Linked DNA regions of Nothobranchius furzeri. The protein of the gene in region 3 interacts with the protein of the main gene of each other region in a pairwise test. Links are inferred from orthologs where the notes say so. Each region holds a gene or a part of one and is shown on either strand. Other genes may lie near its edges. The genes, in order: meox2a; keratin, type I cytoskeletal 50 kDa; ccnc.

Evidence for each region.
Region 1: the proteins of ccnc (region 3) and meox2a interact in binary tests that used the Homo sapiens proteins (3 or more experiments, as listed by UniProt). The two-hybrid records come from large-scale screens. The link is inferred for Nothobranchius furzeri from reciprocal best matches to the Homo sapiens genes CCNC and MEOX2.
Region 2: the proteins of ccnc (region 3) and keratin, type I cytoskeletal 50 kDa interact in a two-hybrid assay, tested with the Homo sapiens proteins (2 studies listed by BioGRID and IntAct). The two-hybrid records come from large-scale screens. The link is inferred for Nothobranchius furzeri from reciprocal best matches to the Homo sapiens genes CCNC and KRT13.

Annotation. Positions count from the first base shown.
Region 1 is NC_091745.1:64,680,752-64,684,203, reverse strand, and holds part of meox2a (homeobox protein MOX-2), read left to right. Parts: intron 1-2,349; coding exon 2,350-2,568; 3' UTR 2,569-3,452. UniProt on the Homo sapiens protein: Mesodermal transcription factor that plays a key role in somitogenesis and somitogenesis and limb muscle differentiation. Required during limb development for normal appendicular muscle formation and for the normal regulation of myogenic genes.
Region 2 is NC_091745.1:30,568,487-30,572,239, reverse strand, and holds the start of keratin, type I cytoskeletal 50 kDa, read left to right. Parts: upstream 1-1,259; 5' UTR 1,260-1,402; coding exon 1,403-1,924; intron 1,925-2,369; coding exon 2,370-2,452; intron 2,453-2,942; coding exon 2,943-3,099; intron 3,100-3,174; coding exon 3,175-3,336; intron 3,337-3,412; coding exon 3,413-3,538; intron 3,539-3,613; coding exon 3,614-3,688; intron 3,689-3,753.
Region 3 is NC_091742.1:26,778,625-26,782,377, reverse strand, and holds the start of ccnc (cyclin-C), read right to left. Parts: upstream 2,862-3,753; 5' UTR 2,745-2,861; coding exon 2,713-2,744; intron 2,441-2,712; coding exon 2,334-2,440; intron 2,214-2,333; coding exon 2,129-2,213; intron 1-2,128. UniProt on the Homo sapiens protein: Component of the Mediator complex, a coactivator involved in regulated gene transcription of nearly all RNA polymerase II-dependent genes.

The DNA.
Region 1 (3,452 bases), on a different chromosome or scaffold from region 3:
GCCAAAGTTAAAGTTAAAGTCAAGTTAAGTTAAAGTCCCATTAGTTGTCACACACACACTGATATGTGTGCAAAATTTGTTCTCCGCATTTGACCCATCCCCTGGGGAAGCGGTGAGCTGCAGACACAGCTGTGCTTGGGAACCAGTTGGTGGTTTAACCCCCCAATCCAACGCTTAAATGCTGAGTGCCAAGCAGTGAGGCATTGGGTCCCATTTTTTCAAGGTCTTTAGTATGACCCGACCAGGAATTGAACCCTGATCTCCCAGTCTTAGGGAGGACACTCTACTACTGGGCCACTGAGCTGAGGCAAGGACCTTGGTGGTCTGATCCTTGGCTACAGAAACTGGCTTCCTTGATGTGGATCTCAATGTTCAAGCATAAGGATGATTATTTTCATTGGTGGACTGGCCATATGGGGGCCCTGGAGAATCACAGAACAGCCGGTCTGCTCCAGGCTGGTGCCACCCACCCCCACATCACCCGTATAGCGATATTCACAGGCTGAATAAATGTTCCAGTCCATCCATATGTTTTCTTGCATCAGGATTCCTTAGGCTGCAGCTCAGTGATCAACTTTGTTGTAGTCTCTTCTGATCTGTGGCCACATATTTTGGACACTCAGATGAAGAGAGGGACAGAGCTGTCAACTCACCTCTACCTTGTGGTGAGTGGGCTTTGGTGGTGGGGGAGGACTTGGCAGGCTCAAATGTAATGTGAGGGTCTGCTGACATCCTGTGTTGGAGTCTCCTGCCAGAAGGAGCTTCAATTCCCACCTCTGACAAAGTTCCAGGGGAGGCAGGGGAGACTGAAATCAAGTGGGCCATGTTGTGTGCCTCCATTGTAGAGACTGGCTAGAGCTGTGACTGCAAGGTTGCCTGTGCCTGTCACAGTGGTAACCTTCCAACCCACTGGTGGACACTGATGGTGATGGATGCTGTCAAGCTGAAAGAGTCCTATTGGGTCTTTCTGGCCTGTGGGACTTCAAAGGCAGCTGACAGGTGCTAGCAGTCCAAGTGGAATGAATTCCATTCAGGAAAACAAGACTTCTGCAAGGCTTCGAGGCCATTCTGGTTCACCATTCAGTGTGTCAGGAAGGAGAAGCAAAGCATGGCCCATACTTTTTATGGTTAGATAGTACACTGCTGACCTTGACTTGCAACAATGTGGACTGGTGAGCAGAGTACTTCAAAGGCCTCCTCAATTCTTCCAGTGAGGAAATGGAGTCTGGGGACTCTGGGTAGAGCTCTCCAGTCTCTGGATACGAGGTCACTGAGGTGGCCAAAAAGTTCCTCAGTGGCAGGGCCTCATGGGTAGATGAGATCCAACCAGATCCTTAGGGCTGTGGATGTTGTGGAGCTGAGTTGTTTGACGCAACTCTGCAACATTACATGGACATCGGAGAAGGTTCGTTGGATTAGCAGACCGTGGTGGTGGTCCCCCATTAAAAAAAAAGCCAAAGGGGGATCACATTCCTGAGCCTCCTTGGCAAGGTCTATTCGGGGGTTTTGGGGAGCAGATGAGGGTCCATCGGATTATTGAACCTCAGATTCAGGAGGAGCAATGTGGTTTTCGTCCTGGGTGTGGAACACTGGACGAGCTCTATACCCTTAGGGGGTCCTGGAGGGTGCGTGGGAGTTTGCCCAACCAGTCTGGTGTGTTTTGTGGATATGGAGAAGGCAATTAAATGTGTCCCTATGGGAATCTTGTAGGGGATACTCCAGCAGTATGGAGTACCAGACCCCTTGATACGAGCTATTAGGTCCCTGTGCGATCGGTCAGACTCAATTTCAGTGGGATTTAGACTCCACCGAGGCTGCCCTTTCACACCAATTCTGTTCATAGCTTTTATGGACAAGACTTTTAGGTGCAAATGTGCTCAGAGGATCTCTGCTTTTTGCATGTGGTCTTGTTGGCTTCATCGTACCATGATCTCATCTCTCCCTGGAGCAGTTGCAGCCAAGTGTGAAGCAGTTTCATAAAAATCAACTCCTCTTAATTGATTTATCAGATGGATGGATGAATTTATTCAGATTTTTTGTAGGTTTACAAAAAATTCGTATTGTTTCACTTTTACTAAAGCTGTTGTTTGAAGGCTGTTTTGCACCAGGATGTAATTGCCAGAGTTTGTGCAATCATCTAGACAGAACATGTAGAGTTTGAAGCTTAAAATCTCTCTGGAATGAGTCATTTCAAGGTTTAGCTGTCACCTTGACTTCCCCAATTCCTTTCTGCTTCTCCACATTGCGATCTGACTGCTGCAAAACCTCTGCTCAGTGATCACACAATCCAAATTCATACAAACCGCCAAGACACAGAATGTTGACATTTCTGTCTGTTTCCCCTCACAGGTAAAGGTGTGGTTCCAGAACCGGAGGATGAAGTGGAAACGAGTGAAAGGTGGCCAGCAGGGAGTCGCAGCTCGAGAGAAAGAGTTGGTGAATGTCAAAAAGGGGACATTATTACCTTCAGAGTTCTCTGGCATTGCAGCGCTCCACCATTCAACGGACTCCTTAGCCAACGGGGACAGTCATGACAGCGATCAAAGCTCTGAGCACGCTCATTTATGATGCACACACATACACAATGGTCCCAGCTCTGTCTGGACTGTGGGCCCAGCCTCTGCCTCACAACCATCTGTAGGACTGCTGTCTGGTGATTCGCCATCGTCTTACAACGACGCTAAATAAGTGTACAAATACAGAGAAACAAAGTGCTGAAAATAGAATCACCATGTAGTTAAAACGAGAACATGTCAAAGAAGAGTGAATTATTACTGCACAGAAGTGATTTCTCACTTCTGATAAAAACATGTTGAACACCATACTTAGTTAAACCGTTAACATTCCATGTGTGTTTGGAGAAGCAGGCTAAAGCTTTGTTTTGCACTGCTGAACTTACAGTTTGCACCTTAGTGTCTACTGTAAAGGAAATTCACCAATTAATTGAGTTATTAATTCATTTAGGTGCCAGGAAATCTAATTTGCCTTGAAAATATGAATGATATGTAAATAAATCTCAGTTTTGTGTTAATAGTTATACTAAACCAAGACTGTTCAGTTCATGAAGTAATAAACACTGACAGCTCAGCTGACACGTTTGTGCCCGGAGATGATTTTTGTAAAAAGATTTATAACCTGAAGCATAAATTTAAAATAAAATCTTTTGGAGAGAGTTGCAAATTGAATAAAACTGAAACCAGTGGAAAATGTAAATCCTTATGAGTGGCTTTTCTCCATTTATGCGGCCATCTGTCTGTGTGGATCCAGGGTGATGAATGCATGTTCCAGAATGTTCCGGCTGATATAAATTAAACATTTCAGAGTGTGGAAAGCTGGTGATGTGGGTGCATGTTATATTCACCTTGGCCCTGGGGCAGGGCCAGGACTCCCGCCAAGACTCTAGAGAACCCACAAAGGATCAGATCCAGTTACCGAGTCACGATCTTGATCTC
Region 2 (3,753 bases), on a different chromosome or scaffold from region 3:
GACATTTACCAATAAAGGTCAGGATCAGAGTTATGAGGATTTGAATCAGGTTCAGCATCTATGTAAGTGTCAGGCAGGGTCAGAGTCTGCATTAAGATCAGGGTCCTGGTTGTTGTGAAGGCCACAGTCAGGATCAGGGTTAGTGTCTGGGTCTGAGTCACCACAAACGATCAATGAGCAACCATTCACCCCAGGAGCCAGAATCTTAGTTGTGCATTTGGGTGTGGCTCTGTTGGAAATCTGCATCCTCGAAGCTTCAATTAGAAAATTTTTTCTTTCTCTTAAACAAACAGAGGATTAAAGAAGCTTTCTGTTGCTTCACACCAGCACACACCTGGGCACACTTGTCCCCCCAGTATATTCTACAGGCTTGTTTCTCTGTGAAACACTTTGAGGTTCATCACTATGGCAACAGCAGCCAGGGGCATTTTCCCATAGCAAATGCCTGAGTGGGGACATTGTGAAGTGACAGGTGAGTGCTTGGGGCCGGAGGCTGTTTCAGATCCTGAAGCATCTCACTGAGAGCTCTTTGTGCTGAGAAAAGGTTTAACGCCGGCAGCAAGACAATACCAAAGTTACATCATCCGGGTCGCAGCCAGGCCAGCAAAGCTGCAGGTATTCACAAGTTCTGGTCGTTAATCACGGCTTCTGATTATTAGCTGCAGGTGAGCCCTGCATCGAGTCATTTCAATTTAATACACATACCGCCCTGCCATAACACTATGGCCACCATCAAGCAGGTCAGTTCTGACCCATCTTCTCCTGGACTCCACTGGAATTCTGAAGTTCTGATGGGATTCTGGCTCCAGCAACAGCAGATCCTTTAAGTCCTGAAAGTTCTGAGGTGGAGTTTCAATGGATCAAACTGAGATCTGCACTCAGGGGTCTGTTCCTTCAAGGGTTCTTGATGCATTTCAGCAGCTGTGCAAGACCTAGCGCATCTCTCTCTCGGGGTTTGGTGCTTCTAAAGGTCAGACATCACAGTTTGATTAAAAACTCTAGAAAACAAGAGTCAACTCCGAACATGCTGTCAGATCAGAACCCTTCCAGTTCAGCTCCTCCTAAAGGTAAAATGTTCTGATCCCCTCTGGGTTCTCCAGCTGCGGGTTGTCAGCCTGTTCCACTGTTAGCTTAGTAATCAGGAAAATATTTTTAAATGGCACAATTAAAAAATTACTGTCTTAAATGTCATAAAAACACCAATAAACTGGTGAAGAGCAGAAACAGAATCAACCTTCTCACGTTCCTTCTCTGTGGGTGTGGATCTTAGCCCTGCCCCCTCACCTGTAGCCCTGCCACCTGGAGATCTTTAAAAGCAGCAATCCGCTCCTCTTTTCCTCACTTCTCTCCTCTCTTGCTCCCGAGAAGACAGACAAGCAAGCACCTCTCCTTCTGCTTCATCATGACGACCATGATGTACTCTTCCTCCTCCTCCTCCCGGAGCTCCGGACTGGGCGGCGGTCTGGGCAGAGCATCCTTTGGATCTGGCCGAGGCATGAGCTCATTCAGTGTGGCCGGAGGGGCAGGAGGCGGTGGTGTGAGGGTCTCCCAGGCCAGCCGAAGCTTCTCTGCTGGAGGTGGAGGTTTTGGCTTTGGTGGAGGAGCTGGTGCAGGTTTTGGTGGTGGTGCAGGTGCAGGCTTTGGTGGTGGTGCAGGTGCAGGCTTTGGTGGAGGAGCAGGTGCAGGTTTTGGAGGTGGCTTTGGTGGTGGAGCTGGAGGGGATGACAGCTTAATCGGCAATGAGAAGTTCACCATGCAGAACCTGAACGACCGCCTGGCATCCTATCTGAGTAAGGTGGCGGCGCTGGAGAAAGCCAATGCCCAGCTGGAGCTGAAGATCAAAGAGTTTGCGGAGTCCAAGATCAGCCCCTCGGCCCGGGACTACAGCGCCTTCTACATCATTATTGCAGAACTTCAGGGCAAGGTAAGGATAAGGGACCAGACTCTGGTTTCAATCTGTACACAAATTCCATAAGAAGTCCAGAATGTGGAGCTTTAATCTGAACTGATTTTGTGTTACTTTCCCACAAACTTTTAGTTTTAAAAACAAAAACGGTTTGAACTGCAGCAGCTTGTCTTCCACACAAAGCACTAACAACAAAGCAGAAATCTGTTCAGTAATTTGAGGCTGTGAGAAATGACTCTGGGCTGCCAGTGACTGGACATCACTCTCAGGTGAATGACCTGTGTAAGCGATCCAGGCGAAGCTGCCACACCCAAAACACGATGACACTTAAACATTCTCATCTCACAATCAGCTTCTCTGGGGTGTTTCTTTCCTCCTCATCATCCACATTATGTTTCTATTCATTGCTTCTAATTCATGTAATGGTTGTTTACTTTTAGTAACAACATGTCACTGATTTCAGATCCAGGATGCCATCATCGCCAAAGGAACCGTCCTGCTGAGCATCGACAACGCCAAACTGGCTCAGGACGACTTCAGAATCAAGTCAGTCACTTGATCACTCCTGACATGTTTGTTTGTTTGTTTTTTTCTCTCTTTTTTAGTCTGTTTATTCTAAAGAATCAACTTTATGTTTGAAATATTTAATTATTGGTAGAATTATAACAGGAGCTCTTCCACTGGAGGTCAGAAGCAGCAGCACGCCCTCTGCTGGCTGCACTCAGCAATTTGATTTCAGGATTTATTCCAGCAGTCCCAAATTTTATTTTTGCTAAAATTTTAAAGTCCTTTAACATGTAGGAAAGAAAAAACACTTATTTTATCAATTTATTCTGAAAATTTTTAAAGATTTTCCCCTTTTAGTAAAGCTTTAGATCTTTTATAAGTAATTAAATTACTTAAGAGCCACAAAGGGATTCTGGAGAAAAAGAATTTGTTTTATGTTTTTCAGAAACTGATTGTTATTGTGTCCCAGTGTTTGTTCCTCTGATGTAATTAACTCTGGTTGTGATCCTTGGTTCTGAACTCTGTGCAGGTATGAGAACGAGTTGGCCATGCGTCAGTCGGTGGAGGCTGATATTGCCGGGCTGAAGATGCTGATGGGAGAAGTTAGCATGGCAAAGACAGACTTAAGCATGCAGATCGAGAGTCTGAAGGATGAGCTAGAATCTATGAAGAGGAACCATGAGGAGGTACCTAGACCCTAGTGGACACCGGTTGTTGGTTTTGGTGTGAATACCATCATCAGTCCCCCCCCACCCCCCTAGGATCTGGCATCCATGCGCACCCAGGTGAGCGGAACAGTGAACGTAGAAGTAGACGCTGCTCCCCAGGAAGATCTCACAAAGGTCATGGAGGAGATCAGAGAACACTACGAAGCCGTCGCTGCCAAAAGTCGCAAAGAGCTTGAGGGCTGGTTCCAGGCCAAGGTAGGACCTGGGCAAGAGGAATCATGAGACAAAACCTGCAGAGCTTCAGGTTGATGTCAATTTCTCATCCCTTCAGTCAGAGGCTCTCACCAAGGAGGTCGCCACCACAGAAATGACTCTGAAGACTTCAACAACCGAGGTGAAGGAAGTGAAGAGCCAGCTTCAGGCTCTGGAAATCGAGCTTCAGTCTCAGCTCAGCATGGTGAGAGACAGTTGTGGAGGATAAGCGGTCTGAAAGGGGTTTGGTTCATGTTCTGACTCTGTGGTCTCCTCACAGAAAGCGTCTCTAGAAGTTTCACTCAGCGATGTGCAAAACCGTTACGCCGCACGCCTCGCCCAGTACCAGTTGCAGGTGAGCTGGACTATTCCGGGGTTCTGAGTTGGCTGGTCTGAACTGCAGCACTCATACTTGGTTTC
Region 3 (3,753 bases):
TATTGTATTCATGATGTTGAACTCCTCTTTGAGCACATCCCTTGAAGGATCATAGGTATTAGCAACACCTGTGAAATTGTATTTGCAGGAAAGAAGTGTGTCCCGTTTATTGAAGTATTTTGTGTTTAGAGTTTTTGACGTCTTGTCCATGCGTAGTTCAGTTACGCTCATAGCTGCTAGCCAAAACTCTGGAGTTAAAAGTTTTCTGGCTTTACTAAAATACCTGTCTGTACTTATTTGATTGATGGTAGTTTTACTTTCTATTAGACTCCAAATGTAATCATTTGGCACGTTTCTAATTCATAATTTGTAAGCATGTAATCGGTGATATTAGCATTAGCATTCCTATGGGTTTTTCCATGTATATTAGCATTGCGCTAACCACTCGCTGCCAAATTGCAGCCTTTGAGATTAGAAAATCTCCTTTTGTCACATCGCAATTTAATTGCACATGCAGTTAATCGTTCAGCCCTAATATACATGCAGCTCTATGCTAAAAGTGTATTTTCATAGAGGTAATGATGGATTTCTTTGTAAAAGTTGTCCATCTTTCCAACAGAAAGATTTACCTGGACCAACGTAACGTGATAACAACGTAACGTGATTACGTAATTGCTTAAGGTTCATGTTCAGCCAATCAACTACTTAGACGTCATCGGCAGTCGACGGACCCCGAGCCGATCCTGTACCGACACCACCCTTTTCTAGTTTGCATTTTCATAGCTTGCAACAGCACAAAAACTTGACATTATAAGTTGATTAAAGAGTAAATCAAAGCTGAATGATAAGAATTAACCTGTATGTTTAAGTGGGAGGATTGGAATTATTTCAGGTTTATGTGTTGATTCTAGTGTTGTCAAAAAAATCGATACCTAGATATAAACGATGCTAAAAGTGGTATCTAAATGAGATATTCCATCCCTGTGGTATCGATATTATGGACTATTATACACAGCCTTCTTCAAGTACACCGACACGCACGACAGCCAGATGCCGTAAAGCAGCCTCCGCCTCCCAGACAAACAGAAGAAGAAGGCGCCGCATGGCTACATTGCAATTTCCCACGCGAGTTGTCTCCGATCCAAGTTTTGTCTGCCAAATAAATAAACAAAAACATAAACAGTGAATTTGGGAGGCGCTTCACAGCCCAACTTAATTAGCATACCAAGTCCGCCACGTAGTTGTATATTCACGCTTATGTGCTTAAAGGAAACTCCCGTTTATTGCAACCCGGACTTAATTTCTAGCATGCAGTACGTTTGTTTACTCACGCCGACAACTTTGGTGCTACTTGGATTCCCCGGGGTATTTACCGTAGATCCATCGCCGAATCGCCGTCAGTGTATATCCATATAACGGGTGCGGACGGGCACCCATGGTGCAGCCTCGAAATAAGACATTATCTGCACCAAAACATCTTCATGTCGAAAGGTTTTGTTAGGAATCATTAACGTGATTCCCCTGTTCGTTTGGAGCGGGTCTGGGATTTCTAGGCGTAAACAGACTAGCCGCGGCTAATCTAACCAGCGCTTTTAATGACGTCACTGCCGTGCGCCAGTCTGTTTTTATTAAGATTACCGGTGGATGTACCTTTGTCCTACTGTGGAGAAATTCGTTTTCTCCCTTTATTGACCAACAGAGTTGTTCAAAAGTACAGAACAAAACATATGACGTTACATCTTATGACAAAAATGCACCTTAAACAGAGTTTAAGCAGCAAAACATCACTCTGCAAATAGTGTATATATAGTGAGACAATTCATGATTTAAAGTGTTAACTTTCGCCAGTTTTTGTATGCACGTTTAAAAAAAATGCTGATACTTGAAAGGTTTAAGCACGTTACACACTTAATTCTTAACATTTAATTTCTGCAATATAAATGGAGGAATGTTATTTTTTGAATAAACTTGTTCAATAAATTGGTGTTTTTAAATAGTATCGAAATCGAGTATCGAGTCCCCCCCCCGTATCGAATCGAGTTTGAAATTTTAATATCGTGACAATCCGAGTTGATTCTGTAAGTAAAATAAAACACCGCGAGTTAAAAAGACACTAAGGTTTTTAAAGAGCCTGAGCTGGTGATGGCATCAACATTGATCTCCATCATTACCTGAGACAGCTTCTCACCTGGCATAGAAGCGTTTAAAGTAGACTGTTGCTGTGGCGATGACCTGCTGTCTCAGCTTCAGGTGCTCACCTAAAGCCTGGATCACTGGAAAAAAAAAACATAGAAACGTGATATGTTCAAGGGAAATGCACTAACTGTATCTACAGCTACACATAAACGAGCTTCTGAAGTAAACACGTTATTACAGGTGATTTTAAAAGTTACCATTTGCAAAGAAAATCTGCAGCTTCCAGTACTCCTCTTCTGTGAGGAATTTCAGGTCCTTCTGGCGCTCTTTCATTAGGTCTTGTTTATCCAGAACCCACTGAAGGCTAAATAAAAAATAAGACATAAACCAAACGCGAACAACACAACAGAAAGAGGCACGATACGAATGGTCAAACAATTAAAAAGGAACTTCCATCTTTGTAAAAAACTGGTACTTTTAATTTATCTGTCTATTGCATCTATTCAATAAATTAAAACTTACGGTGGGAATAAACTAAAGTGTTAGCTCGAACAGTCGCAACAAGCAAGGCCTCACAACAAAAGCGATGAATTAAAACATTTGGACGTAACAGGTCTGATAATTATGGCAACTTACTAATGTGAACTCTGCCAAAAGTTCCCCGCCATGTCGTTTCGGTTTGAAGACGGAAAAAATAATTGTATTTAATGTTTTAACCTACAAAACCAGCGAATACAAAAGAAAAGTAGTTTTGCTAGCAAACGCTGGTGTAACACCAAAGACCTACCGGGTAGCTTAGAAATATGGTTCCGGGGTTGCAGTCGCGCTGGTTTCCCTTTATTTATTTATTTATTTATTTATTTATTTATTTATTTATTTATAAACGTGGAATTAAATAATTTGTTAAAAAAATAATAAAATAAAAGAAAAGAAAGAAAGAGAAAAGAAAACATGGCTTATAATTGTGTAAGTCAACAACAACAATAATAAAAACAATACTAACATGAAAACATTGTATAAATGTATAATTACACAACAGAACGTGTCACTAAACATGTAAAGCGCTTGGGCTTCCTGACAGGGTTGCGGAAGGCGCTTTATAAATAAAGCTTTGATTGATTGATTGATTGATTGATTGATTAAAAAACAAGCTGAAAACTTTAAAATATTATTTGTGTACAAAATATGTTTTTTTCTAACGTAGGATATGCGTTTAATCAGCCATTCCTTTTCAACAGCAGTTATTGCTTGTGGTATAATTTAGCTGCAGTAATATAACTAGATTCATATTTGTTTTGATTGCATAAGACTAAACATTCTCAAATTAAACCTTTAAGAGGTCAGCAGAGTAATTTACCCTGAGTGTATTATTTTTTTCTACAGTCTATAAGCTGCATTAATCATGACCTCGACAGATGTTTGTGGGGACTTCGCCCTCTGGAATGGGAGGGTCCAGCATTCCTCTGTGGTGGTGAGGGAATAGGTGAGAAGAGTATGAAAATCCTCCACCATACAACAACTGAGTGAGCGTTCTTCACTCCTCAGCAGAACTTAAATCAGTTAAAACGCCATCAAGATGAGCCAAAGTCCAGAGAGGACGTCTTCCTATCGCTGTCATTTCGAAGGCCACAAGGGTCCGTCTCCTGCAAGCCAGCTTCGGGCGTCAAGTCCATCTCC